Callithrix jacchus: one gene and its partners. The protein of the gene in region 1 interacts with the protein of each later gene in a pairwise test. Links are inferred from orthologs where the notes say so. Each region holds a gene or a part of one and is shown in the gene's direction. Other genes may lie near its edges. The genes, in order: STX4, BET1, VAMP4, NAPB, STX6 and CYBRD1.

What was found.
Region 2: the proteins of STX4 (region 1) and BET1 interact in binary tests that used the Homo sapiens proteins (3 or more experiments, as listed by UniProt). The two-hybrid records come from large-scale screens. The link is inferred for Callithrix jacchus from reciprocal best matches to the Homo sapiens genes STX4 and BET1.
Region 3: the proteins of STX4 (region 1) and VAMP4 interact in binary tests that used the Homo sapiens proteins (3 or more experiments, as listed by UniProt). The two-hybrid records come from large-scale screens. The link is inferred for Callithrix jacchus from reciprocal best matches to the Homo sapiens genes STX4 and VAMP4.
Region 4: the proteins of STX4 (region 1) and NAPB interact in binary tests that used the Homo sapiens proteins (3 or more experiments, as listed by UniProt). The two-hybrid records come from large-scale screens. The link is inferred for Callithrix jacchus from reciprocal best matches to the Homo sapiens genes STX4 and NAPB.
Region 5: the proteins of STX4 (region 1) and STX6 interact in binary tests that used the Homo sapiens proteins (3 or more experiments, as listed by UniProt). The two-hybrid records come from large-scale screens. The link is inferred for Callithrix jacchus from reciprocal best matches to the Homo sapiens genes STX4 and STX6.
Region 6: the proteins of STX4 (region 1) and CYBRD1 interact in binary tests that used the Homo sapiens proteins (3 or more experiments, as listed by UniProt). The two-hybrid records come from large-scale screens. The link is inferred for Callithrix jacchus from reciprocal best matches to the Homo sapiens genes STX4 and CYBRD1.

What each region holds. Positions count from the first base shown.
Region 1 is NC_133513.1:30,560,361-30,565,248, forward strand, and holds the start of STX4 (syntaxin-4), read left to right. Parts: upstream 1-1,397; 5' UTR 1,398-1,666; coding exon 1,667-1,696; intron 1,697-1,873; coding exon 1,874-1,975; intron 1,976-2,064; coding exon of another isoform or gene 2,065-2,086; coding exon 2,087-2,186; intron 2,187-2,321; coding exon 2,322-2,396; intron 2,397-2,831; coding exon 2,832-2,902; intron 2,903-4,888. UniProt on the Homo sapiens protein: Plasma membrane t-SNARE that mediates docking of transport vesicles. Necessary for the translocation of SLC2A4 from intracellular vesicles to the plasma membrane.
Region 2 is NC_133512.1:55,613,242-55,618,148, forward strand, and holds the start of BET1 (BET1 homolog), read left to right. Parts: upstream 1-1,520; 5' UTR 1,521-1,529; coding exon 1,530-1,626; exon of another isoform or gene 1,627-1,714; coding exon of another isoform or gene 1,715-1,733; intron 1,734-4,907. UniProt on the Homo sapiens protein: Required for vesicular transport from the ER to the Golgi complex. Functions as a SNARE involved in the docking process of ER-derived vesicles with the cis-Golgi membrane.
Region 3 is NC_133519.1:30,967,808-30,972,806, forward strand, and holds the start of VAMP4 (vesicle-associated membrane protein 4), read left to right. Parts: upstream 1-1,830; 5' UTR 1,831-2,011; intron 2,012-4,999. UniProt on the Homo sapiens protein: Involved in the pathway that functions to remove an inhibitor (probably synaptotagmin-4) of calcium-triggered exocytosis during the maturation of secretory granules.
Region 4 is NC_133506.1:30,399,780-30,404,144, reverse strand, and holds part of NAPB (beta-soluble NSF attachment protein), read left to right. Parts: intron 1-331; coding exon 332-382; intron 383-2,322; coding exon 2,323-2,433; 3' UTR 2,434-4,365. UniProt on the Homo sapiens protein: Required for vesicular transport between the endoplasmic reticulum and the Golgi apparatus.
Region 5 is NC_133519.1:39,308,676-39,313,512, reverse strand, and holds the start of STX6 (syntaxin-6), read left to right. Parts: upstream 1-1,371; 5' UTR 1,372-1,623; coding exon 1,624-1,658; intron 1,659-4,837. UniProt on the Homo sapiens protein: SNARE promoting movement of transport vesicles to target membranes. Targets endosomes to the trans-Golgi network, and may therefore function in retrograde trafficking.
Region 6 is NC_133507.1:58,008,300-58,013,183, reverse strand, and holds the start of CYBRD1 (plasma membrane ascorbate-dependent reductase CYBRD1), read left to right. Parts: upstream 1-1,490; 5' UTR 1,491-1,562; coding exon 1,563-1,755; exon of another isoform or gene 1,756-1,977; intron 1,978-4,884. UniProt on the Homo sapiens protein: Plasma membrane reductase that uses cytoplasmic ascorbate as an electron donor to reduce extracellular Fe(3+) into Fe(2+).

The sequences.
Region 1 (4,888 bases):
CATTCCTTCCCCTACTTGTACCTTCACAGAAGCTTCCTGGAGAGCCCTGGGTTCCAGGAGTCCATTATTCATTCCTGGCTATGCTGAGACTTGCTGAGTGACCTTGGGGACTCCTCCTAGAGAATGTAAGTTTGACGAGTGCAGGAATTTTTGTCTATTAGTCCCTGATATGTCTCCAAGTCTAGAACAGTGTTTGGTCCATAGTATGTGCCCAATAAATATCCATTAAGCGAATTAATGTTGCCTGTAATCCCAGCACTTTGGGAGGCTGAGGCAGGATTGCTTGAGCCCGAGAGTTCGAGACCAGCTTGGGCAACATAATGAGACCTCACCTCATGAAAATTTTTAAAAATAAAAAACGAGTGAATATCTAGATAGCCAGGGTTAGGGAAGTGTTACAGTCAGAAAGTCTGAAACCCAAAGAAGACCAGGAAACTGGGGGCTTTATCCTGAGATACATGAAAGGCTAAAATTTTGTGCACAGTTATTTACAGAGGGCCCATTATGTGCTTGGTAGTGAGCTAGGAACTCCCCAGATTCAGTTAAGAACGAAGTCATGACCTGATCTCAGATGTAAGGTAGGGGCTGGGGGGTGTGAGTGGTAGGGAGGCAGCGTGCTCAACAATACAGACACTTTTCTTAGCCTGAGCTGCCCTGACATGGTCTGACTGCTCAGAGGTGGTGAGTGCAGCCGGGCTGCCATGTTCAAGGAGGGCGCCGGCCGCCCACCTACCAGAGGCTGCGCCAGGAGGATGCGGGAGATTTCTGCCTTGGGTGAGGTCACCTCCCACCCCCAGATTCCCTGCTCACACAACCCTGCAATTTTCTGACGCTGACGGCTCGGATATTATTTCCCGATTTTCGAGGTCCCATGATGCTGACAGCCCCAAATGCTAAGTGGTCTGCCCACGTTCCTGGACCCGAAAGCAATAAAGGCGAAGTCATCAAGGGTACACCCACCCACTGCCTCAAAAGGCCTCTGGGGGTGGTCGGCGCGCCCCTCCCCACCTCGCGGGGGCTGTGTGGGCGTCGTTCGGTCGCTGGGGTGCCGGGGACTTCGTGATGAGAACGGCGTCCCAGAGACCGCGGTGACAGAGCCGGGACACGTGACAGTCACAGCGTCACGTTCTGCGGTCCGCGAGTTTGGGAACGGGCTGGTCACGTGATGCAGTGGGGGCATCATGGGGTGATATGAGATGCGGGTGTCTCGGCTTACGTACAAATGACGTACTCCTACGCCTTTTGGCAACCAGATTTCCGTTGGAAGTTGCAACGGTTCCGGTGAGGGGGGCGGGTTCTCGCGTCCAGGCAGCTCCGTTTCCGCTCGGGGCGCAACAACTTCCGACTCCGCCTTCCCCCTCCGGCGAGGAAGAGACGCGACCTTGTGCGCATGCCCCGAATTTATCACGGAGGGGCGGGGCTGAGGCTGAGAGAGCAAGAGAGGGGAAGAAAAGGGAATTCCAACCTGTGGAACCTTAGTGGTCCCCGGGGTCGGCTCCTTCCCATTGACTGTGGGTGGTGCAAGGGACAGAGCGTCTGGCGGCTTGTGGGGGTGTTGAGGTCCGCACCGGGAGGGAGGGGAGTGTCAGAGTGTGAGTGGGGTACGGGAATTCCAAACTTGAGGGCCTCCTGGCTCAGGCGCCGAGGAGGGAGAGCTCAGGCCGCCATGCGGGACAGGACCCACGAGCTGAGGCAGGTGAGACATGGGGGCAGTGGAGATGTTGAGGGGCGGACGAACTGGAACGCAGGACTCCTGATCTTCAGGGCGGGGAGGGATGGCTGATGGCCAGGAAGGAAAGTCCCGGAAGCCTGTGGGTCGTGCGGGGTGAGAGCCGCAGCGAAACAGTGGTACCAATGACTCCGGGCCTCGCAGGGGGATGACAGCTCGGACGAAGAGGACAAGGAGCGGGTCGCGCTGGTGGTGCACCCGGGCATGGCACGGCTGGGGAGCCCGGACGAGGAGTTCTTCCAGAAGGTAAGGGGCTGGGGTCTCTGCCTGGATTCGCGAGGGGGTAGGAAGACCCGAGGACCAGCGTGGTCTGGAGTACCCCATATCTCTTTCAGCCCTCTCGGTCACCCTCCCCAGGTCCGGGCAATTCGGCAGACTATTGTCAAACTGGGGAATAAAGTCCAGGAGTTGGAGAAACAGCAGGTCACCATCTTGGCCACGCCCCTTCCCGAGGAGAGTGAGTGAAACTCCGACTGCAGGGCGCATGCACCACCTTAGGGATTGTGGGGGTTGTAGTCCCACATAGGTGATTGCCAGGGTGGTTTGTTGAGGTGGGAGCTGCTGTTCGGAGTCGTGGTCTTCTCTTATTCAGGCATGAAGCAGGACTTGCAGAACCTGCGCGATGAGATCAAACAGCTGGGGAGGGAGATCCGCCTGCAGCTGAAGGGTGAGCTCCTGGGACCTCAGACAGATCCTTCCCTTTGATCCTGCCCTGTTGTTGGTGTATCTGGGGAGTGTGTGGCCCAGAGAAGCCGATGATATAACCAGGTCACACAGCAGGCCTGGGTCTAGCATCTCTGTCTCCTGGCCTCCAGGCCATTGTACTCTCCACAGGACAAGCCGGCCTCTCAGGTTCTTTTATTTACAATGTAACCATTTACTTACACAGTTATTGCAGCCCACTGGGCATTCTTTGGGCAAGAGGATGGGGTTTTGTTAGGTGGCCTCTGCATACCTATGGGAACTCAGTGATGTAATGCAAAGAAAAATAAACGTACTTTCTCCTCTTGGAGGCTCAGCCTTAGTCATTTTATGATAAATTATATTTCCCTAAAAATCCATGGAAACAAGTACCCCCAGTACTCCATGTGTCTTCCCACAGCCATAGAGCCCCAGAAGGAGGAAGCTGATGAGAACTATAACTCCGTCAACACAAGAATAAGAAAAACCCAGGTGGGTTTTTTTTTCTCAGAAATGAGGACATTTCAGCAAATGTTTCATGAAGTACTGGATGACAGATGTATGAAGGAAGGGCCTGCAGAGATGGTGGAGTCCAGCGGAATGATTTTCCAAATGGGGAAACTGAACTCAGAGAAAGAACTTGCTCAAAGTCAGGAAACCAGGTCTCCTGATGCTTAGTCCGATTATAATACCCTGCTTTATTTTCTTTCATTCAATAAGAAGTTGCTATGACCCCAGACAAGACCTAGGTTTGGCTGTAGGGACACATGTTTCTTTTACTTTTTTTGCCTCAGCCTCCTGAATAGCTGGGATTACAGGCAGACATCACCATGCCTGGCTAATTTTTGTGTTTTTAGTAGAGATGGGGTTTCACCATGTTGACCAGGCTGGTCTTGAACTCCTGACCTCAGGGGACACTCCTGTCTCAGCCTCTAAAGTGCTGGAATTATAGGTGTGAGCCACCATGCCTGGCTGGGACACATATTTTCTAGGAGTCAAGATGAGGAGTTCAGGTTCAATAAGGACAAAGACATTACTCACGTAGGACTTGGTGATAATGGTGCTGCCCAGGGAAAGAGAGAAGTCATAAATGACTGGCAGCTTTCCTGCCTATGTGACAGGGAGTCCTTAGTCCCACAGGCAGAATTCAAGAAGGCAGGAAGAGGAACTTCCCTGGGGCGACACTGAAGAGGAACTTCCCTGGTGTGATATCTTATATTTTTAATTATTATTTTTTTGAGATGGAGTCTTGCTCTGTCACCCAGGCTGGAGTACAGTGGCAGGATCTCGGCTCACTGCAACGTCTACCATCTGGATTCAAGCTGTTCTCCTGCCTTAGCCTCCCAAGTAGCTGGGATTGCAGGTGTGCACTACCACACCTGGCTAATTTTTTTATATTTTTGGTAGAAATGACGTTTCACCATGTTGGCCAGGCTTGTCTTGAACTCCTGACCTCAAGTGACCTACCTGCTGTGGCTTCCCAAAATGCTACGATTACAGGTGTGAGCCACTGTACCTGGCCTTTGGGGTGATGTGACTGGCCCTCTCTGGGTCCCCAGTGAAAAGTACTTTAGGATTCTAGGAGGTCAGGGTTGGAAGTTAGGCCCAGGGTTGGAAGTGAGGACCCCAGATTGAAGATGGAGCAACTTGGGCATCTTGGAAGGGTGCAGCCGGATCCAGGAGAGTAGATGTATCTCTGGAAACGAAACTCCAAGGAACGAACATATTTAAGGCCTCAGGAGAAGGGGCAAGGCAGAGCAGATGACCTATAGCCAGTGCTTCTGGGGTAACCTGTGGTGCTGATTGGCATGAGAGGTCAAGGGCCCATGTGGGCTTGTTGCACCTGTTTTGCCTGGGCGGCATGTTCATCTCTAGGCTTATGAGCACAGTTGTGGTATAAGCAGCAAGGTTGGCATTCAGCAAGTGCCAGACCCTTTTGGAACTGTTTAGGATACAGCAGTGAACCAATGATCCCTTTCATCATGGAACTTCCATTCTGGTGTAGAGAAACAATCACCATAATACATAAGTGAATTATTTAGACATAATAAGCATTATGGAAAAAAGAGCAGAGGAAGAGGGACTGAGTATGCTGGAGAAGAGTACAGATGCAATTTAAATCAGGTGGAAGAACTTCATTCAGAAGGTAACATTTGAACAAAAGATTTAAAGGTGTTTGTGGAGAATGAGCATTCTAGGCAGAAGGAGAAGCAAAGACAAAGGCCTGAGCTGGGAGTCTGCTTTGTCTAGGGAGGGGTAAGGAGACCAGTGGGGAGGGAGGGAGGGAACATGAGGAGGAAGTAAGATCAAAGAGGTCAAGGGGAAAGGAGAGATCATAGAGGGCGCCGGCCGGTGCTGTAGCTCATGCCTATAATCCCAGCACTTGGGGAGACTCAGGTCAGAGGATTACTTGAGCCCAGGAGTTCGAGACCAGCCTGGGTAACATAGTGAGACCCTGTCTCTCTCTCTCTCTCTCTC
Region 2 (4,907 bases), on another chromosome or scaffold:
AATGGTAGCTAAAAACAATAATTTGGATTTTTTTAGGTAACAAGCTCAATATGAACTAGCTTTGCCTTACTTCAGTTATATTCTTAGTACATTACATATATTTTTTCCTTTTAACTACATTTCATTCTTATGTCTTCCTACCATGTAAAGGAAGAATATATTTTAGGTAATTCAAATGATTAGTTTTGGTAAATATTAACTGATTTTCAAAAATGACAATTTCTACATTTTCTATCAGCAAGCCTTCATTAGGACAATTTTTAAACATGTTTCATTATAAAACATGCATTTTTTAATCAAACAAAGGACATAGATTAAAAGTTGTAATGGGATATCTAGCTATCATCTATTACTGAATCTCCATCTTTTATTTGTAATTGTCCCTGATTTTATCCTCATTTAATTCCATTGCTTTTAGAAAATGGCGTTTTAATTTTAACGAAGATTTTTTTTCCTATGGAAACCTTATTGAATAAGTCTTCCTTCTCAGGTTAATAACTCTCATTAAAAGTAGTTTTCATGTGTTTTATACAAAAACAACTTAATGCAGAGACTTGTGCCACTATTATGGTCAAGGTTAATAATGTCTTGGGAAACTATGAGAAAATACTAAATGATCAGAGATCACGTATTTGTGGAGTGGAGACGATTCCACTACCATACATATGGCAGCAACAACAAAACTGGAGATACCCAGTGGATTTTGATTACCTACTGTGTATCAGATTTTTCTTTCTCCGAAAACCATGATTACCGTATTCTCATGATAAATAATCCGGTGAGACAAAATGAAATTCTAGGATTAACCCTGATACCAGCAACATCTTCACTCGCCAACAAGCTTTTAAACCCCCAAACTGGCTCAATGCCTTGTGTAAGCAGTATTTCAATAACATTTGCGTAAGTTAAAAAAAAAAAAAAGTTAAGTGGGAGGGAATTTAGGGGTCCTTTGTTCCCTATAACAACTAAAAGTCTTGGTTCCTCAAATACAACAGATGCAGTAACAGTAACGGAACTATTCAGTGTCTCCTATGAGACCCCACGCTTTTCCTGGGCTGCTCCCATCTGAGCAGGAGTCTTACTCCAAGGAACCTGGTTTTCTCTCCTTTACTGGATACATGAGGTACAAAATCTGTTACTTCTGTGGATGTTGGATTACTTGTTTGTAAACTGAGAAACGTGGACAAAGTCTTCTCTAACTTTCCCTGCACTACCTCTGGAGGTAAGAGAGAGTACAAGGCTCAATCAGGAAAGTTATCCCAATCAACCTCTTGTGGGCCCGGAGGAGGAGATCTGTTAAGTTAAACTTGGTGGTCAATAAACTGAAAGCAGCGACCCGGAGGGCCGCGAGACAAGCAGCGGGGATGTTGGATAAGAAACCCAGAGTTAGAGCCGCAGCCGAAGCCGCCCCCTTTTCCGGAGCCCCGTCCGCTCCTGGAACCGGGTTCACACCACGCCACCTGCGACACGTTCTGCGTCAGTGAACTACATTTCCCAGAATGCCATTCAGGCTTCTTCCCAGGGCTCCAATGAGCGCCCTAGTGACGCCATCAGTCGGCTCGGTGTTTAGAATCTACAGCTGTCGTGGCGCTTTGCTGGAAGAAGTTGGTGTTCCGCGGGGCCCTGGTACTGAAGACGCGGTTCGGGTCACCCCTAGCTCTTTCCTACCCACCTAACCCCCCGCGCCCGCCTTTTTCCTCTCTCCTCTGGCAGGATGAGGCGCGCAGGCCTGGGTAAGAAGAGGGCCGAGGTTCGAAGTTCGGGGCCCTAGAACCGGCCATGCTGGGCGCGGGAGCGCGGGGGCGCGGGAGCAAATCGGAGCTATCTTTTGTTCTTGGCATTTGGTCCAAAAAGCAGGATCTTTAGAGGGTATCTTTTGGGCCTTGTCGAGTGGAAACACACCATTTGTCCCAGATCCTAGGAGTTTCCTTAAGTTTGAGTCAGATTCAAGTTTGGATGGTAGGCTAGAGAAAGCATTGGACTGGGGTGGGTGTGTACAGGTGACATCTCAGTGGTCGAGTGTTTTAGTGTTATTGACTGAGCTTGGTTATGGACACTGGTGTGTTTTACAAAGCCCGACTTCGGTTTCTGTTTCTCTACTGGCCCTGGATCTTTGTTTCTTCAGAAGCGGAATTTGAAGAGTGGGTAGTTGCACGCAAAGCACACTGATAATGGTCGTTAATCTGGTAACAGTGAGTTACAAAGGTAAATGTACGTGTCATTACTGTTAAAGGTCCTGGAACTGTAACATCTGGGTGAAAGGCGATTTCTTATCTGAACCTTGTGCCATGATTAAGGCAGTAGAATGTAGTAAGGTTTGGTATCTTAACATTTGATCTTGACCTTGGGGTTTAGGAAGCTGGCTCACCAGCAAGAATAAGTTAGGCACAAGGAATTTTAATGGTCCTCTATAGTAACATACAGCTATTAGAGCAGCGTTTTCTGGTTCTGAAGCTTTCTCTTAGGACAGTATTTTTTTTTCTAATAAGACTGCTACATTAGAGTGCTGTATACTTCAGAAAATAAATGAAACATTTGCAAAAAGATAATGTTATCTATCTCAGTCATTATAAGATTTAAAAAAAAAAAATTCCAAAAAGTGTCAGATATTTAAAGTCAATGAAAGTTGCCAATAACTATAGACTTGTTATCGATTAATAAATTGTAGTATGAGAAAGTTTTTTTTAATGAAGTTTTTATGACTACTTGGATCATAGAAAGAATGTAGGGCCAGGTACATTGAAGAGAAAAAAAAATAATTTTCAGCAAGTTTAGTTTTATATACCTAAATGTTTTTCTTGTTCATCATCATTAATGATAAAAAAGGATTTATTGTGTGCCTGAGTAAGCTCTAGGTTTACAGTTGTTTGCTGCCCTCTTTGTGCTCCCCAAAGCTTCCAGTCTAGGTGTGGAGTAGGAATATGTGCAAAGATAACTTATAGTACAAAGTAGTTGCTATATATCCAAATACCAGATAAGTTCTGCATATAAGTGATGGTCTCAGAGGCTTCAGATATAGATCACTGTATACTTTGTGGAGAAGATCCTTGTGTATCTTGTGGAGACTTAGGAATTTGAAGTAGACCTTGAATAATGGAGAGTGGGGGAAGTGAGTTCCAAATGGGAACTCAAAAAAGTAAGGGATTATGACTAAGCCAGTTTGGTTGAAGTAGGGGATGAAGGATCACACTGTGGAGATCTTTGCATGTGAGGCTGAAGAGTGGATTTCATGGCCAAAGAGTTTGGATTTCATCAGTAGGCCTCTAGGCCCTTTGGAGTATTTTTCTGTTGTAGTATGCCATGTTAAATTGCAGGAAAATGACTTGAGAAATGGTTCTCAGCCCCGGGAAGTTTTAAACTTATTGTTACCTGGACCTCAGCTCAGCCAGTTAAATTAGAATCTCACTAATTTAGAGCCCACTACCCCATACTCCTTTTTTTTTTTAAAGCGCTCTCCTGTGATTGAGAGGAGAGGTGATTACTTAGGTAACTGCTATTGCTATAATTTATATTGATGTGAAGTGACAAAGGCTTTTTTTACACATTTTTTTCTTTTCTTTTCCCTCCCTCCCTCCCTCCCTCCCTCTCTTCCTCCCTCCCTCCCTTCCTTCTTTTCTATCTTTTTTTTCTTTTCTTTCTTCTTTTTGAGACAGAGTCTCCCTCTGTTGCCCAGGCTGGAGTGCAGTGTTGCAATCGCAGCTCACTGCAGTCTCCACCTCCCAGGTTCAAGCAATTCTCCTGCCTCAGCCTCTCAAGTACTTGGGATTACAGGTGTGCACGACCACACCTGATTAATTTTTGTATTTTTTAGTAGACGGGGTTTCGCCATGTTGGTCAGGCTGGTCTCGAACTCCTGACCTCAGGTGATCCACCCACATTGGCCTCCCAAAGTGCTGGGTTTACAGACATGAGCCACTGCGCCTGCACTTCTTTTCATGTTTTTAAGTATCAATGTATATTGATCTGAAATTTTAAATTTGGGATTGTAGTGAATCTGATAGATATTCATAGGCAGAAGCTGTCACATTCATATGTGTCTCTAAATGGTTCTGTTAGCTTACTGATAGAACCTATCCAAAAGAAGAATCATTTTTCTAAACTAACAAAGGCTGTGTATGATCTTCAGTACCCGCTAGCTTTTTTACACCTTTCATAGCAGTATACCGCCAGAAGAGAAGTGGCTCTGTTCAGAATAGCAATTCTAGCATTTTATTTGTTTTTGTTTTTTTGTCCATTGTATTTGGGGTGGCTCATAATTTGAGAGAACATCAACTCTTTAATAGGAGAAATGTGCATTAACATATTTTTGTACAATAAACAAGAATTTCACTTTGAATAAATAGAACAGCATGGAAGCACTCTAAAATTAAGATAGGCAAAAGCAACTAAACAAAGGAAAGGAAAAATAGCTATTAATTTAGAATGAATTTCTTGGTGACGTTGTCAAATGATTGAATTCAACCAGTCAGTACTTATTGGGTAAATGTTATGTTATATACTCAGAACCTCAGCCACACAAAATAAGAAGACATTATTCTTTCTTTAAGTATCTTGGCCCATATTAAACTAGAGTTTGCACAGAGTATTATTGATTAATAGAGGGAGAATGCAGTTTTAAATGGTGATTTTAATTGACTGAGGGGAAAAATATGCACACTCCTTGAGTTCTTTTATAATAACACATGTGGAGCATTTCATAGATAGTGTGTCAGCAGGAAAATTCAGATAGTACAACTCTCTTATGTTTGGAAAATACTTCTTCAATATTTTGTTGTGTTTTTTGTGGTGTTGGATATTGCCTAGGTATCTGCTGCATGTAAAGTACTTAGTAGGTACAGGGAGGATATAGGAGCATGAGATACTGTCTGCCCTCAGAGAAGCATATGATTCCATTTTTGACAAAGATA
Region 3 (4,999 bases), on another chromosome or scaffold:
TAATAAAGAATCATGGTTTAAAAAAAACAAAACAAAACAAAACAACAAAGATTGGATTATGCATAAAAGCTATGCGCCTATTAGAGCTCACTGATCACACCTTAAGCTGTCTATGTATAAGAGATGAGGCTATAACTAGCTAAAGCTCTAATTGGCTAAGACACCAAAGCCAGAAAGTATTCTATAACATGCAAATATGCAGATATAAAATCAACTGTAAGTGCTGGGCACAGCTGCTCATGGCTGTAATCCCAGCTACTTGGGAGGCACAGACAAGATCACGTTAGCCCAGGAGTTCAGAGCTGTGGTGAGCTATGATCATGTCACTGCACTCCAGCCTAGGGGAAAAAGTGAGAACTTGTCTCAAAAAAAAAATCTGTAGAAGAAAAAATAATGTCTGGGTCACTAGGAGTAGTCCCACTGTCATGCCCAGACAGAGATGCAAACCTTGAGAGGCTTCTATTCTAGGTGGGCCGTTTCAGTCCAAGTCAGCCGGGCTCTGGAGCAATAAACACAGACACCTGAGTTTAACATCAAGTTTTTTAGAACCTTCAACTGAAAACCCGACAGCTGTTTCTAAGTCTTAGACCATTTAAATCAGAATCTAGGTAGCACGTGGGCACCTGAGTAGTTTAAAAAGCTTTCCAGGTGATTTAAAAAGTTTTCCAGTAGTTCCCCACCGCCCCCCCACCCACAGTGGTTTTAAAAGCTTTCCAGGTGATTCAACTCCAAGTGAATCACTTAGCATTGAGTATCATTGCCCTAGTCATGGCATCTTTCAAATTCGTTAGTGCATGTTTGCATAAAATTACACATCAAACGAAGAGCAACTTTTTTATGAAGGTGTCTATTTCTTCCTTTAGTGTCCTCAGATCTTCTGCTGTTTTCTGGTCTACTTTTGTTTCTGAACACGCCCTTATTTTTGTCTTTGGAGAGAGCCTGGCACGGTATTTCAGACAGTTAAAATACTATATCAACAAAGGACCCATAAATACTGTATTAATGTTAAAAGATGTATAGTGGATATATGATTGAATGAGTAAAATACTCCAGCTGGGGCGTGGGAGGAATGGATAATAAATAAGAGAACGGAAAAACAAAATTAGGAATTGTTTTTGGTAGCCAGCATCTGTGGGCTTGGAGATCTAAATATGATACCAAACTGGGCGGAGGAGGAAGGAGTGAGGGAAGCATGGGCAGAGCAGCGGAATGGCCAGGCAAGGGCGATTTCCCTGAAACCTGAAGGCTTTCAGGTTACAACTAACGGATACCGGGAAAAGAACACGGAGCCGCCGTCCCTTATCTATCTAAACTAGCTGTGTAACTTTAAGTCAATCTCCTCTCTGAACCAGATATTTCTCCTACCTAAAGAAAGGAGGCTGACCTAGGAACCATTAAAATCTCTTTCCAAGTCCAGCTCTAATTCTGCAAACAGGGGATCAAACAGAACTTCTTTCTTCAGAAAAGGCCCCAGACGAAACAGAAGCAGGTCCTCGAGCCGCAAGCCACCCTCCTCTTGCCACCCAACGTAGTCAGCCCGAGGGACGGATCTGGCACAAAGCACTACCTTCTTTGTAAACGCCTTATCACCCCAGCCAGCACCCCGACCCGAGCAGTTCTGAGTTTCCCATCCCTCCCATAAACGCCCTCCACGCACGCCGGATCCCGACCGGAACCTGGAGAACCAGTGGTCACTCATCCCCTAAAGCACAGGGAGGAGCTGCATCTAAAATCCTTGAGGGTCAGGGCTCTTCCAGGTGAAGAGCGCCCGGCGGAATCGACTTCCTCGACTATCTCCGCGCCCTGGACCCGCCCCCTCCGCCTGGCGCCAGGCCGCCGAGCGCCGATCGGCTCGGTGAGCGGAGGCGCTGCTGCGGAGCTGCGGCCGACGCCGGATCCGCACCCACCGTCCCCCCACTCCCAGCTTTTTACCTCAGCTTCCCACTCCTTCCCCCGCCCGTCCAGCACCGCCCGCCCGGGAGAGCTGCCGGGAGTTCCCCGGGAGCCTCAGGTACTGGCGCTGGCCTGTTCCCAGCCGGAGGGGCTGCTGTGAGGAGGGAGGAAATGAAGATGACGCCCCTGCCTCGCCGCCCCTCGACGTCCGAGTTGGGCTGGTTAGCCGGCCTCGGGGATCTAGGAAGGGACCCCAGAGTGGGAAAAAGCTGGGGCCGGGGGTACCGTGAGGAAGGAAGACGAGGACAGGGGTGTGCGGACGGGGAGTAGTTGAGGGGAGAAGAATTGGAATTGAGGGGTACTCTGGGGCGATGGGGAGAGAACAGTGCCATGGATGGGGAAGGTTTGTTAAGAGTGGGAGGCAGTCAGGAATGCCAGGGAGTACCATGGGGCAGGAAGGGCCAACGTTAGGAGCAGATACTTCGAGGGACGTGGCCTGGTGCGACAGATTGGGTGTTGGGGGGTGAGCAGAGCTGCTTCGAATTGTGTATTTAAAGGGCTCGGGAGAAAGAGCGCCAACCCTGCTGTGTTTGTAATGACCAGAAGGTGGGGGTGAATCGTTACACTTGACAGGTTTTGCTAATAACATCTTTGGTCTGTGTCCATCCAAGTTACTTTATTTCTATGAAACTGCATCGAGCAAGACGCTGATGACAGACAAGGAAGAGGAGTTAAAAAGGGAATGGAGGCTGGGAAAAGGAGAGCCTCTGCCCAGATTCAAAGCTATTGACTAAATAACGTACTGCTTACAAAAATTCATACATAAACGTTTAAGTATATGCTGATGCATAAGAAGCATACGGTGATGTGACTGTGTAAGTGAATTGTATAGTGGTGGTCTGTCCTCAATGTGGAAGTACATGATGGCTCTCTTATTTACATGTATTCCTAGTCACCAACACCTGAATTCACGTATGTTTTTTGTAGGGGAAATCTTAAGCAGACTCTATCCTAGTCTCCTTTCTGAGCATTATTTACTTCTACTAGTTGTTGGATACCCGTATCATCAGATACTAATAAATAATCAGTAGTTGCAAATAACATCAGATTTCATCAAGGTAGCTAATTAATCTGTCTACTGCTTTGCGGATGGGTTTTCTATCTGTTGGACATGGTTTCTTGGGATTGAGAGACCTGAATATGAGGTTTGCCCATCCTTAAGATTGTAGTTTTACTATATGTCTCATAAACGCATTATGTAAGTCTGCCTGTTGTTTGCTTTGGGGTGTTGAGGCAGCCTCTATGCATGGGGTTAAAATCTAAATACAGATATAGTTAAAAGCACAAGTTCTTCAGTAATTTGCTTTGTCATCTGTTTTTTCCATGCATTCTGTTACATTTCTGCATAAATGAATTATTCTGAAATCAAAGTGTGAGGAATAAAAGGGCCAGATGTATGTGACAAATACTGTGGAACCAAGAACTCAAGAGCTGTTAGGCAGCAAGAGTTTGTTTTTTGTTACAAGTGAATAATTTCTGATTTGGAAGCATTTCTTATCAAAGAAGAGTGTTTGTGTCCATTTGTTTTGACAAGTAGCTAACTTAAAATATTACTTTTATTTGGTTTAGGAAACCAGACTTTGGGGTTATTCTTTCTGATGTCTAATTTTACGTAATTTAAAGGTCTAAATGCTGCTTCTTGTGGGCAAGGAAACAGGACTATTGGGTTGTTACCGGAAAATGAGTCTCTCTAGAACAGAATTCTGTAAACCTGATGGGCAACTAATTGAACAAATAATTAAAACTGATAATGGATTGCCATTGATTGATTTAGGCCTGTATCTCTGCCGTTTCAATGAGTGTAGTGACTAACATTATCGTTACTAAACTTTAGTTTTCTACTAGTTTCTTAGTGCCTACTTCAAAGAAGCATCATAAAGACTAAAAGAAAATGCATGTGTATCACTGAGCACAGTGCCTAGCATATAGTAAAACATTCAGTATTTCTGAGCTATCCTTAATTGCTGGGTATTCATCTACCATCTAGTCCAAAATACTGAAAATTCATTATTTGCATAGAACAACTTTTTCTTAAAAAAAATTTTAATATGTTGCATATGCAAGCATTTTCCTAGAAAGTCACAATGCATTTAGCATGTAAGAGGATTTGAGTCATTCTGTAGTAAAGAAAACTAGCTTTGTTTAATCCAGTTGTTTTGATGAAAGAAAAACTGAATTTCTCCTAGTCTCTCTCAACAGAGAATACTCCTCTGACCCCAAAAAGATTTCTCCTCATGAGCAAGTAGGCAATTCTGCATCAGGTTCTCCAGCTGGGTGTCCTCTAATTCAATTGGTACTTTATACCTAGAGATAGCATCAGATTCTGCAGGTTGAGGGCTTAATCTTGCAACATTCCTCTGCACCTCGAGTGCCCATCACAAGTTCCAGGTGTTTTTACCTGTGCTTCCAGTAACTGGCTATAAATCAGAGTTCCCCAAATTCCTTGTCTTCAATTTATTTGCTAGAGTGGCTCACAGAATTCAGAGAAACACTTTATTTACTGGTTTATTATAAAGGATATTACAAAAAAATAGAGATCAACAGCCAGATTGAAGAGGTGCATAGGGCAGGGGGTACAGAGCTTCCATGCCCTCTCCAGGTGTGCCACCATCCAGGAACCCTCTACTTGTTCAGTTATCAGGAAGCCCTCTGAACCCTGTCCTTTTTGGGTTTTATGGAGTCTTCATTAGTAGACATGATCGATTACATCATTGGCCATTGGAAATCAGTTCAACCTTGAGGCTGCCTCCCTTCCCAGGAGGCTAGCAGGTGGGACTGAAAAGTCCCAGTCTTCTAATCATGCCTAGGTTTTTCTGTGACCAGCCTCCCATCTTGAATATATCTAGGGGCTAAGCTACCAGTCGTCTTATTAGCATACACAGGACACATCACTGCAGGGATTCCGAGGATATGTCAGGAAATGGGGATTAAGACCAAATAAATACATTTTATAAATCACAATATTACCGAACTTACCCCTTTTAATGGAGCATCAATGGGACATTATAGTTTGCAGAATATTTTTGCATGTATTATCTGATTTGAC
Region 4 (4,365 bases), on another chromosome or scaffold:
TACTCTGTCAGGTGGCAGCCCCTAAGTGGGACTGGGTATGAGGTGAAGTTGAATCTGTGAAGTCTGCCAACTGAAGGGCCCTGGTACCTTCCTGCTTTGGCATTATAGGTATTCAGATGCAACTAAGGTCAGGAATATATAGCTGTGTTCTGAAATAGGCAACTCAGAAATGCTGGTACAGGAGCTAGATCCCTAACTTGGGTCTTGTATTTGAGTATTTCCTCAACAGCGTGCAGTATTGGCGACATCAGTGCTACACTTAAAGTGTTTATTTAGAAATGGGACTTCATCTTACAAAAGTGTTTTTTTAAAAATATTTTTATGCTACCAGAAACTCCTAGAAGCTCATGAAGAACAGAACAGTGAAGCTTACACGGAAGCCGTAAGTTATGCTTTTGGGACATGGGACATTATTTGAGGATTTAAGCTAGAGAAACTTCTTTGCATTATGTAAATTCTAAACATTTATTTGAATATGACTCCGGCATACCTAAGTTGTATTTTCCAAAGGTCACCTTTTATCTATTTGCACAAATCAAACAGGTCCGTCAGCCATGCTGAGATTCTAGTTGTATTCAGTGCTGTTTCCTGACTTATACTTAAAACTAATTTAGCTGTGAAACGAGTTCAGGAGCAAATATTCCATATATATTCTTATAATTTGCCGTTTCAATTTTTTTTTTTGAAAATAATCTGACCTATAAGTAAGTATAAAGTAAAATTTGTTACTGGACGAAGGCTGAACGCAGTGTTTCACACTTGTAATCTCAGCACTTTGGAAGGCCACGGTGGGTGGATGAAGAGGTCAAGAGATCGAGACCATCCTGGCCAACATGATGAAACCTGTCTGTACTAAAAATACAAAAATTAGTTGGGTGTGGTGGCGTGCGCCTGTAATCCCAGCTACTCGAGAGACTGAGACAGGAGAATCGCTTGAACCTGGGAGGCAGAGGTTGTAGTCACTGCATTCCAGCCTGTGATAGAGTGAAACTGTGTTTCAAAAAAAAATTAGTTAAATATAATTTAAAATATAAAAACTAGTGAGAATTTGCTCTATTTATGGCATAAAATAAATGGAAGGTGGCCAGGCGCAGTGACTCATGCCTGTAATTCCAGCACTTTGGGAGGCCGAGGCAGGTGCATCATGATGAGGTCTGGAGTTTGAGACCAGTCTGGCCAACATGGCGAAACCTCGTGTGTACTAAAAATACAAAAATTAGCCAGGTGTGGTGGAGTGTGCCTGTCATCCCATCTACTTGGGAAGCTGAGGCAGAGAATCGCTTGAACCCAGGAGGTGGAGGTCGCAGTGAGCCAAGATCGCTCCATTGCACTCCAGCCTGGACAAGAGCAAAACTCCATCTCAGAAATAAATATATAAATAAAAAATAAATAAAAATCTTTTTTAAAATGAAAGTTTTTTTCTTTATATTTGTTTTTCCATCTTTTGCCATCTCATATTTAGAATCAAGCAAAAATAATTTTTTAATATGTTTTGAAACAGCCTCACTCTGTCACTCAGGCTTTAGTGCAGTGGGGTGATCACAGCTCACTGTAGCCTCAATCTCCTTGGCTCAGGTGAGAGCCTCCCACCTCAGACTCCTCAATAGCTGGGAATACAGGTGCACACTACCACACCCAGCAATTTTTTTTGTTTTCGTATTTTTTGTAGAGACAAGTTTTCACCATTTTGCCCAGGCTGGTCTCTTAACTCCCAGGCTTAAGCTCTTCACCTGCCTTGGCCTCCCATGGGGCAAGGACTACAGGCATGAGCCACTATACCCAGCCTCAGGCAAATTTCCCAGTAGCCTCCTATAACATGTTCATCCCAGCTCAGGAGTAAGAGTGGAAAGGAATGTTTTCCTAACTTTTGCCTACCCTGTCATTTTCATCCTATTGTAATTTTAATCTGTGGTACTGTATCGAAATGTGTGAAAGGAATTCCGCTTCCAGACATTGTAACTCTGCACTTAATGTTTTCCCATGTTCAGTGAAGTATAATTTTTCATACTCCTTTAAAATTTTTATACAAAGTTGTTTCTTTTGTCACATTAATCATGACCGATAATGAATTTTTGTCATACACGTGTTTGAAAACAGAGAAATGTCAAGCCCAGAAACCTGTCACTAGTACCATCAAAATAGTAACAGGATAATGAAAAAATAAACAAGTTTTTAGTGAAGAAAGTTATAAACTGAAATGATTAATTTCAAATGCTGAGGAAAGTGGATGATGGTTGTAAATGTATAGACAGCTTGGGTACTATTATTTTCTGTTTTTAATGTATCACATGGGGTGATTCCTGCTCCTCTTTTTTATACCAGGTGAAGGAATTTGACTCAATATCTCGCTTGGATCAGTGGCTGACCACCATGTTGCTTCGCATCAAAAAGTCCATCCAAGGGGATGGAGAAGGAGATGGAGATCTCAAATGAAATGTTTCCGTCTTCGTGGCATGCAGCTAACTCCTCTTTAGTTTTGTCTTAGGGTCAAGTGATCTTTATGGGATGCCCATTTAATGGCTTAATTTTGTTGCATATGAGCCAGACGACCTGTGTATTGTTTAAACTTGTGGAGTCTATATTGCTGTGAAGTGAATGAAGGGGAGGCTCCTGTTCATCTTGTGGTAACGATAGGTTTCCCGCTTATCAGACCCCCAGCGTTTTCTGCGAAGTACTTGAGAATCTCATTCCTCATATTTCACTGGTGTTTGTGGAGCCCGTGTTTAATGTTGCCACGTGTTTTTATGTCCTTTTTGTTGGACTTGAGGACTCAGCCCAGTTGTTCTCGTAGATGCTTTGCATTTTCTCTGTGCTTTGGCATCTGGATATGTTCTTTAAATGTGTGTTTAGTTTAGGGCAGTGACTAGGAATGAGTTTATGACTTTATTGGAAATCATTTGTATTTTTGTTATCCTGTGATTATTTCGATGGTGCTAGTGACTAGTTTCTTTGCTTTTTGTGTTCTGTACGCTAACACGTGCATGGCAAAAATATAGAATGGCCAGGGTCTGTAGGCATTACACTGTGAGGAAAGGAGCTCTCTGGAAGGACTTGCTTCATGTATGGATGAGTGTCAGAGTGAACTTGATTTGCACTCACCCACACACACACACACACCCTGCAAGATCTATTAGAAATGGAATTTTCTGTTTTTCTGGAGATAGTTTTCACTTGTAGTTGGAGTGAAATCCCTTTATGTTTGCGTTAGAGTGTTTCAGTTGGCACAGCCTGCTCATCATTTTCATGTTTATATACTACATTGAGGCAATGTGTTCTCTGCTGTGGCTATAGAAATCTTGGTCAGGCCTGGATAGATTAAGTCAGGCTGAAGAATGAATGTACGTAATTTTCACATTTATTGCACATAATGGATTAGGTGGGGTGAATGTGGTACAGGAGTGGACTTTATGCCCAAGTGGGCAAGAACCCCAACTTGTTTCTCAGGGGACTTGATTGTTCTCTTAGCTGATGGAATATTTTGGCTTGTTGGAACTCTGTCATGTTTAATTGGTTTATATAATATATATGTGCTATCTTAATTCATGAACTTGATTCTATTATTTTATATGCTGATATTGTACTTTAGACATAGACTTGTCCTGTGACTGTCTTTTGCATATTTTATAGTTAAATGGTTTATATTGGAAATGTGTTTGTTGCAAGACTTAACCCAGCAGACACTTTGATAACACGGATCTTCACTGATGACAGGTGACGAAACTTCCTGTGTTATGTCAGGCAGTAGCAAGCAGTGTTGGAATGACATTTTCACTTTTGGTGGCTCTCAACTAGAATTGGTAGGATTTTATTGCGCTGAAGTAGAGTGAGTGTTTCCAGGCCAAGGGTTGAGTGCAGGGTGTTTGAGGAATGGTGAGTAGGTCAGTCTAGGAAGAAAGAGAAAGTAGCAGGAAATGAAGTGGGAAAGGCCAGCCAAGGCCAGATAGAGGATCCACATCTGGTGGCCACGAGGACTTGCTGACCATAGTTCTGGTGGGAAAGGCCAGCCAAGGCCAGATAGAGGATCCACATCCGGTGGCCATAGTTCTGGTGGTGACGTGCATGAGGTGGCTGGTAGTCAGAGCATCCACTGGGGTTGGCAATGGGCCCTGGAATCTAACGTGGGTCCCTCCTTCCTTCCAAGTTCTGAGAGGCTTAAATGAGATCTGGCTGTCTCTGGTGGTAAGATCTGGAATGGAGCCCAGTTGGTACTTTTTCACTCTCTTTTAGAATCTCTTAGGAAAAAATGATCAGAGAGAAAAATGGGTTTTTTTCTTGCATAATAATATATCCTACAACCAGCCAAATGCACTTTCGTGAAAATGGGGTGTGCGGAGCGGTTCCGAGCCCTTGAGTAGTTTGTTTCTA
Region 5 (4,837 bases), on another chromosome or scaffold:
ATTTTTATTTAACTATCATAACAATCCATGAACTAGCTATTATTATTTATGTTTTGTAGCTGAGGAACTGCATGATAGAGCCAAGGTTTGTGTTTCTCCAAGGACTGTGCCATCTCCAGAGACTGGTGACTTTGGGCAAGTCACCTAACCTCCCAGGGTCTCAGATTTCTCATTCATAAAATGAGGATGATAGCAGTAGTTATAGCATTGTAAGAGCAACTGAGATAACATTTAACACCCTGCCTGACACACACACAGTAAATGCCCAATGATTTTCAGCAGTCAAAGTCCACATCCCCATCCACAAACTCCACAGCATATCTAGCCTGAGTTGGTTAATTGTTCTGGCCAAAATGTTTTCTGGAATTGTTCTTGAACCACAGTGAGATGAAGTTGTCATACCTGGCCCCTTCTTTATTCCTTGAAGGTGCTCTCTCCTGGGAAACGCCATATGCTGTATGAAAAATTACTTTACATGGTTATTTGCAGAATATACAGCAACAGAAGGTACACCCCATCTGGTGGAAAGTGCAAAGAATCTGCAGTTCTGCCCTGTCCAAGCTGTGTGACTACAGGAAGTCTTGAAGCCTCTCTGAACTTATTTTCTCATCTACAAAATGGGGAAAATGGATGGGTGTGGTAATCCCACCACTTTGGGAAGCAGAGTCAGGAGGATCATGTGAGTTTGGGAGTTTGAGGCCAGCCCAGGCAATATACTTAGGGCCACATCTCTACAAAAAATTTAAAAATTGGCCAGGTGTGGTGGTGCTCACTTGTAGTCCCAGCTACTCAGGAGGCTGAGGTTAGAGGATCACTTTAGCTCAGGAGGTCGAGGCTGCAGTGAGCTGTGATTGTGCCACTGCAATCCAGCCTGGGTGATAGAAAGAGAGCCTGCCCCCCAAAGGATACTGAAATGATGCATATACAACCTTTAGCACACTGTCCAACACAAAGTTAAGACTTAAAGGATCTGTGTAACATCATAATTAGATACCATGCTTCACTGTAAGTCTAGGGCCAGATAGAGATATAAATTGCATACTGTCAAAATCAGGTATTAAAAGTAGAGGAAAGGTAAGAGGATTTTGCAAATCAGGTGCAACTGCAGCTTATCCTGAAAAGCCGACTGCCTGCCTCTGAGGGAAGAAGCCGCTCCTCACCCTCAAGTGTGAGGGGAGGGCGGTAGAAGGCCTCCCACCTCCACGGCCTCAGGGCTCCGCCTCCAGGGCCGTGTGACGCATGCCCAGGCCCCGCCCACGAGGGGGGCGGAGCAGGCCCTCGTCACGTGACTGGGTGCGGAAGTCGTGCTTCAGGCGATGTTCGTGATTGGCTGCGGCCGAGGTTCCCGGGGGTTGGGTCAGGCCCTCCGACGCGCCGGGAGGAGCCGGGACGCGAGGCTGCCGCTGGGGCCGGCTCTAGAGTCCTGTATTCGGCCGGTGGTGGTGAGCGAGTGCTGGACCCGCGGCGGTCCCGTGCACCTGGCCTGCGCGACTGCCCGCGGCTCGGCGTTCTCCAGGCTAAGACGCGGGCAGCTGCGGGAACAGGCGCGGTGGGCGGAAGGAGGCCGGGAGGCACGGGTGCACTGTGCGCCGAGGAGGTGGAGGCGGCCGGGGCCGGGACGCCATGTCCATGGAGGACCCCTTCTTTGTGGTGAAAGGGTGAGTGTCGGCCGAGGGTTCCACCGGAGAAAAAGGTGGCGGTGCTGCCTGCCCGCACCTCCCCGGTCTTCTTGCAATAGGGGGAGGGGAGACAAGTTGAAGCTGGGGAGGGGACAGTGGAGACGGCTTAGCCTCGAGGGCCGTGACCAAAGAGTCCAGAGACGTCCCCTCCATCCCTACCTGGACCGTGAAGCCGCTGTCCCCAGCCAAGCTCCTGGTGGTGGTGGGGCCTTTTTGGCCTGTGCGCTGGGGTTCAACTTATTTGGGGAGGGGGGTGCAGGGGCTCAGCAGCTCTGCAGGTGGTGAGAGAGACCGGAGGGTCCTGGCTCACAGTGGCTCTCCAGTCGAGCATGAGACCTTGCTTGGAAGGAGCGAAAACAGCATCTGGGCAGGAAAAGGGAAATGGCCCTCCTGAGCTTTGTAGTTCGCCTTGACGGGAGTGAGCTCCATTGTCCATTGAGTTTGGAGCGCTGGCCCGCAGACTGGCTAAACCACAACAAGCCCAGAGGCGTCTGAGCACGTTTGCAGGGAGGGAGGCGGGGGAGCAGGGCACCGGAAGACAATTCAATGGGGGAGTTTTTACTGAGTAAAGTGAGGAGAGGAAAGCAGTCGTTCATACTCAGTGATGATTTGGAAGGAAAACAAAATGAAACGAGCCAAACCAAACTTTCCTCAACTTTCTATTAGCAACCGGAATTTTCTCACAGTGCTAAAGGAAATGAGTGTTGCTTGTTAACTCCTTGATTTCATCCAGGCTGTTTGACAGGTTTCTCTCATTTCTTCTGCCTTTTAGAATAGAACTGCCTTCTGTTCCCTTGTAAGCTGCCCTAACTCCGTCTTTGATTGCTCGATTGTTTCTTTGGAGATAGAAACTTCAATTGCACTTTGGAGCCATTAAACAAATGCGAGAAGATCAATTCTGATGTGACTTTGTTTCTTATTAGAAACGTGTCAATTTTCTGTTTTAAATGTCAAACGTGAAAAATCTGAAAACTGCAAAGTTCCCAGATCAGTACTGAGCACCATAGAATGTTCCTTGCTTCCAACTAGTTGCTGCTGTCTTCCTGTTTCTGCAGTAGTACAAGCTGGCTATTGTTACATTCGAGTGTTCTAGAAAATTTAAATGGTACTTTAGGTGAAATACTTTATTGATGCAGTAAAATACACTTATACTACTTTTTTTTTTTTTGGTGACATTCTTGAAGAGTGTGTGTGTGTGTGTATATATATGTACATATTTTTTTCCACTTATACTACATTTCCCTGAAAAGATTTTCCTTCACCTAATTTAGATGGGAAAATGCTGAGTTGTAGATTTACTGGTAATACGTGGCTCCCTACCTGGAAAATGTGGTATTTATTAGAAGGATTGAGTTAGGGGTTAATTTTTAAAATAGATGTGTGTTTTTCCTTTGAATGAAAGTTGTTGCTGTTTTGAGATGGAGTTTTGCTCAGGCTGGAGTGCAATGGCGCGATCTCGGCTCACTACAACCTCCGCCTCCCGAGTTCAAGTGATTCTCCTGCCTCAGCCTCCCTCACCGCCCCCCTCCAGCCCCAGTAGTAGGCATGCACCACCATGCCCGGCTAATTTTGTATTTTTAGTAGAGACTAATTTTGTGTTTTTGGTAGAGACGGGGTTTCTCCGTGTTGGTCAGGTTGGTCTAAAACTCCTGTCCTCAGGTGATCCACCCGCCTCGGCCTCCCAAAGTGCTGCGATTACTGATAGGCGTGAGCCACTGCGCCCGGCCTTGAATGAAAGTTCTTAATGCTTAGGTTGGCAAAGGTTATCTCTGGCAATGGAGATCAGAGATGATCAGAAATTTGTTTTGACTTTTCGTGGAATTTGTCAAAAACCAAAATTGTTCTGCCATCTTGGCATTTTTTTTCTTGATAATATCCAATACAGTCTACTAATGCTTGCCGCTGATTAAATATCACTACTTTATAGGAACATTGGCTTGGAGTTTGGATTGATTTTTACATCATTTTAGCTCCTGTCTTTAAGGTTCCTGAAGGAAAAGAGATTCTCAGGACCTTCTGCTGTGGAAAGGTAAAGTCACCCGTGAAGGTGTCTCCACATTTTTGGGGAGTCATGCACCTGCATTTATTAAAAGTATCAAAAATGCATTGCACAGTATGGAAAAATTAAAGGTGCCTAAATTATGGCCCATAACCTAGGAGCTTCTAGTCTAATCTGAGAAATTATCCCAAAATTAAATAGAAATAACAGATGGCAAATGATTAAGTGTTGAAGTGAATGCTACAGATGATAAGTGCCCCAGGAGTTCAGTGAAAGGCAATTCCTTGAGAATGGTTAGGATTAGAAAAGCTTTTGGAGGCGGTAGTATATCTTGAATTAGGTTTTGTAGATAATCAGGCCTGTCCCTCTTATCTGGATGCTTATCAAAGAATCTTCTAGTTGGTCTTCCTGCTTCTGATCTTATTTCCTCTTTTAGCTGTCCTTGGAACTATTGGATCAATGCTGTCCAATAGAAGTATAATGCCAGTCACTTACATCATTTTACATTTTCTAGTAGCCATAGTAAAGTAAAAAGGAACAGATAAAGTTAATTTTAACATAATCGCTAATACATTCAAAATAGTCAACATGTGATTAATGTAAAGATTATTGATGAAATAGTTTACTTTTGGTCTAAGGCTTCTAGATCTAATGCATATTTTACACTTAGTGCACATTTGAATTTGGACATTAAATTTTCATCAGAAATAATTGATCTGTATTTAAAGTTCATTAAACTTACAGTTGAAAAATGAATTCACATACTTTTTTTTTTTTGAGACAGTTTTGTTCTGTTGCCCAAACTGGAGTGTAGTGGTGCAATCTCTGCAACCTCTGCCTCCCAGGTTAAAGCGATTCTTATGTCTCAGCCTCCTGAGTAGCTGGAACTGCAGATGTGTGCCACCTCGCCTGACTAATTTTTGTATTTTTAGTAGAGAGAGGGTTTTGCCTTGATAGCCAGCCTGATCTTGAACTCCTGGCCTCAAGTGATCTGCTGCCTCAGCCTCCCAAAGTTCTGGAATTACAGGTGTGAGTCACCGTGTCAGGACAATTCACATACTCTTAATTGTTCCAAACATACATAAAGGTTTTTTGGTAACTGAATTGCGTATCAGTTATCAAGTTTACATTAATTAACTTCTGTCACACTAGCAACATT
Region 6 (4,884 bases), on another chromosome or scaffold:
TTTCGCCATGTTGCCCAGGCTGGTCTCATCAAACTCCTGGGCTCAAGTGATCTGCCTGCCTCAGTCTCTCAAAGGGTTAAGATTACAGGTGTAAGCCACCGTGCCCAGCCTTTACTGCTAACTTAAAAAAATTACAAATTTGAAAAAGGAGGAGACTTTATTTCTTATATAAGGTTATAGCCTATAAGATGACCACTCTGTAGGCTGATAAACACAGCCTCTGGCCTAAGACCAGAGAAAGGCACTTAGAAGGCAGAGGGGTTGGGATAGGAACTTTATGCTGACAGTTTGGTCAAACATTCATATTTAACAGGTTAAAGGAGGAGCAATGAATATTAATGGCGGTGGTCCTGACACATGCATCTTGAACAAACGTGTATGTAACATGGTCTCTTTGGGGTGGAGACTTAACATTTAAATGTATTACAAATAGGCCCTATACTTCAAAAGGTCTTTTCAGGACGTGAATGCACACAAGCACACAATCCCTGTAAACTGCCCAGAACAGTCCGTGGTTCTGGTGGTCTTATCAGGAAAAAGTTTCTGAAATCAGTCTCTTGTCCAGTGAAAGTTGTAGTTCTGGCTGGTGGAACAGGGGTTCGGCTGGTGGAACAGGGCTTCAGCTGGTCAGCGTCTGTGAGCTGAGCTGTAATTGTTTTAATATTGTTTATCTCAAGCCAGTGCTTGTTTAGCTGCTAGAGAAAAAGAAAAAGCTTGTGTCAGTGAGAGCAAAGTTTATTCCTTAAGCGTAGGAATATATGACTTAGGTCCTGTTTATAATTGAATGCCTTATTGCTACAAAGACTCTGTTCTGTCAGACTTACGGTTTCTATTTTAAACATTAATGCTAGTCAGCTGTTTAGTCTAAATTCCAAAAGGGAGGGGATAGACTTCCTGACTTCCCTTCCAGTTGTGGCTAGAAACTCAGCTTTAAGGTTTTTCTGGGATCTGCTTGGCCATGGGAGTCCATTCAGTCAGTGAGGGGCTTAGGATTTTATTTTTATTTACACCACCCTATAGGTTCCTCCTTAACACCCTTTGATATTAGAGACAGCAAATTCTCTAGCACTGAGGCTAAGGAGGGTTCATCAGTGAAAAGCACACAAATAACTATCCAACTGATCCCTCTTTTCTCTTAACTTAGAGGGCGCACCACTGACAGACTCAGCCTCCCCACAAATAAGGACGAGAAACGGGAAGGGTGAAAAGAAAGTGGTGGGTATAAAATCCTCGGAGTCCTCTCTTCGAGCAACTAACTAGGTCTGTTACCGAAGCCCTCTGCGAGGTTGGATGCTGGGCGAGGGCGAGGGCGAGGCCACCACGCAGTGAGCGCACTCAGCGGCGGCGTGATCCCGGGGGTGGGGCCCGTTTCTGAGCCGAGGCCAGCTGCCCACCCCCAAGGGGCCCTACATTCCGGGCCAGCAGCCCTGAAAGTCCCTCCCCGCAGGCGGAGACTGCCCCAAGAAATTGACGCCCCGGGTCCGCCGCCCGGCCACTACCCAGAGGCTGCCGCCGCCTCGCGAAGTTCCTGTGGCCCCGGCGGTTCGGAGTATGGGGCGCTGATGGCCATGGAGGGTTACTGGCTCTTCTTGGCGCTGCTGGTGTCGGCGCTGCTCGTCGGATTCCTGTCGGTGATCTTCACCCTAGTCTGGGTCCTCCACTACCGAGAGGGGCTCGGCTGGGACGGGACCGCACTCGAGTTTAACTGGCACCCGGTGCTCCTGGTCACCGGCTTCGTTTTCATCCAGGGCATCGGTACTGGCACCTCCGGGGGTGGGGGGAGAGCGGCGGAGGCTGAGGGTCCTCCGTGAAGCCCCTCGTAGCTGAGGAAGTGAGGGAGGATGGCGAGGCCTGGAGGGGAGCGCTCCGGGAGCCCAGTCGGCAGGGCGGGAGGGCGGCTGGAGGGAGGCGGGCGGACTCTGGAGGCCGGAATGTGCTGCAGTTCGGGCAGATCGCTACGAGTTCGGGGTCTGGGGTGCACGGTAGAGACGCGCTGCTGGGGGCGGCGGAGCGTGTCCCGCCCCAGTTGATTAACTCTTCGCGGTGAGTGGCTGGGACAAATTGGAGACGCCTCCGAGACCCAGAAACTTGAGCCGGAGCGCTCTGCTGCTGGCAGCTCACTCGCCCCCGAAAGTTGCCCCCGTGGACCAAGCCTGCGTAATCCGGGCCGCGGAAACGCTTTGGCCTCAGCCTTTTGCTGAACTTGCTTCCAGGGTGCAGATGAGGAGGGGAAGGCAGCGGGGTAAAGATGGCTGGAGTGAGAATTTTGTAACATCCTTGACTCTGGGTGAAGGGGCTGGCCAAGGAGGGGCGAGTGAAGCATCCGCCCCGGGTTCCTCTCCTCCTAGAGCATTAAACTCCGTCGAGCCCGGGAAGTTGCCGGGACCCCAAAGAGTGTTTCGCCTCCCTGGACAGTCATTGGACGGTCTTGAGCCCGAATTGTTTGTGTGGTAGCCTACTGGCGCAAGTTCCCCCGCGGGGCTTCCTGTTGGGCACTGGCCCAGCACTTCGGGTGGGAGATGCCTGGAGAGGGCCCGTGGCCTCCTGGTACCGAGGGATGCCTCTGCTCGGGATGTCCCCGAGTTTCCGTGTTTGGCACGCGTCGAGCCAGCCCCGGGCCTGCATTCTTCCTGCTGAGGCTGGCGCGGGGGTGGGGCTCAGCAGTCGCTGGTAGTGTGTGTTGTCATTGTGTAGTGCCGCTCGCCATGTCCTGACAGCTTCCTTCGGGTTGCCTTGTGGCTGGAGGAACCTCGAGCTTGTGGCGCAAACATCGTGTATTTGCAACAGGCATGGCCTTGAGAAAGTAGTTAAAGGCAGCAAGGGGTGGACTGGGGTTATGTTGCAGAAAATAATCGAGAAGGGTAGCAAGGGTTTGGAAAGAGATGTCCACTGGCTGAATCTCTAGCTTTGCCTCCGGGTAGGCTGCCTTTTCTTCACCAAATATTTAACTCCCCACAAATGAGTGTGCAAAAGAGTGCTGACCTCATTCCTAAAGAAAAGTGATCTTGTCTTTTTTACTGGTTGTTTTCAACTTGTACTGCAGCTTTCACAAGTGTGGCCAGCATTCTCCCACTCTGGAATGTAGTGGAAGGTGTTACTAATCCTCGGTAGTCCAAGGCTTCCCTGGTATGAGATCGGCATCAGGGTGTGAGCACCACTGACCACATAAGTCATTTTGTTGCGTAATTCTCAGCTATTTTGCCACTACGCTTAAAAGAGAAAAACCTACTCAAGTTCCAAAGTAACAGTCACCAGAAGCACTCTTTCCTTCATGGTGGAGCCCTTGTTTGGCCCAGAGCTGTCTACACCTTGTTTGCTGAAAAAGTAGAACCCTCAGCCGGGCGCGGTGGCTCGCGCCTGTAATCCAAACACTTTGGGAGGCCGAGGAGGGCAGATCATGAGGTCAGGAGTTCGAGACCAGCCTGGGCAAAATGGTGAAACCCCATCTCTACTAAAAATACAGAAAGCCTGGCAGACACCTGTAATCTCAGCTACTCGGGAGGCTGATTCTGGAGAATTGCTTGAACCCAGGTGGCAAGAGGCAGAGGTTGCAGAGAACCGAGACCATGCCACTGCACTCCAGCTTGGACAACAGAGTGAGACTCCACAAAAAAAAAAAAAAAAAAGAGTAGAACCAGTCTCCTCTTCCACCCAGCTCTAAAGAGCAGCTTCTACTACCAAGAAACTTTCCTTCTAATACCAAGAATTTCCTTTGCTTCTAATACCAAGAAACAAAATCACTCGACTCTGTATGTCCCTCAGCTACTTCCTCAACTCTGTGCTTGAGAATATCTCTTGGAATATCTTCTTATAATTGAGGGTAAGGGAAACACAAGTGATATTACTCATTGCCTGACTTGCCACAGAGGAGAAAACGTCAAAACAGCTTACAGTGACTGCATGCTGTGAGTCCACTAAGTGCATGATGTCACATGTATGTAAGAGTAAAATGAGGCAGACAAGAGTTATGTAACTTACCCATGAAAGTTGTTTTCTTTTCAGTGACCTTATTGTCAAAGTTCGATTCTCTGCTTTTATGGTAATATACTTATTTTCTGCCTAATCTTCTTTTTAGAAAACCTGCATCTAAAATAGATTTTGAAACTCTTCATTCATATTAGAGTCCAATATACAGTTTTCCTAAAAGGTTTTTAAGTTACTCTAAACTTTGAACTTAATCTGTTCATACTTACTCTTGGACAAAAATGTGTAAATGGATATTTTGGCAATTGTCATCTGTTGCTCTTATGAAAATCTTGTTTTTGTTGTTGTTGTTTTGAGACAGAGTCTCCCTCTGTCACCCAGGCTGGAGTGCAGTGGGGTGATATCAACTCACTGCAACCTCTGCCTCCCAGGTTCAAGTGATTCTCCTGCCTCAGCCTCCCGAGTAGCTGGGATTACAGCTGTCTACCACCATGCCCAGCTAAGTTTTATATTTTTAGTAGAGACAGGGTTTCACCATGTTGACCAGGCTAGTCTCAAACTCCAGACCTCAAGTGATTTGCCTGCCTCAGCTTCCAAAAGTGCTCAGATTACAGGTGTGAGCCACAGTACCTGGCCGATCTTGTGTTCTTTAGGTTCAATTATTGTATTTGTATCAATGATCCAGAGTTTGTCCCATCATGACTCATCCTGTTTCCTGTTTGGACCCTGGATGTGAAAATCACTTTAATCATATAATGCATTTAATTGACCTGAGCATAAATGTTTTCATACATGTAGGCACATGCATGGTTCTCCCCAGTTCTTCCACATCTTGGCCCATCCACCCACCCACATTCCTCATCCCAAGCATTAGGAAGGCTCCAGTGGAAGGAGGGGGAGTAATAAACAGACTTTATAGGCTGCGAAGGAAGCGCACATTACAGACTTGCCATGTTATAA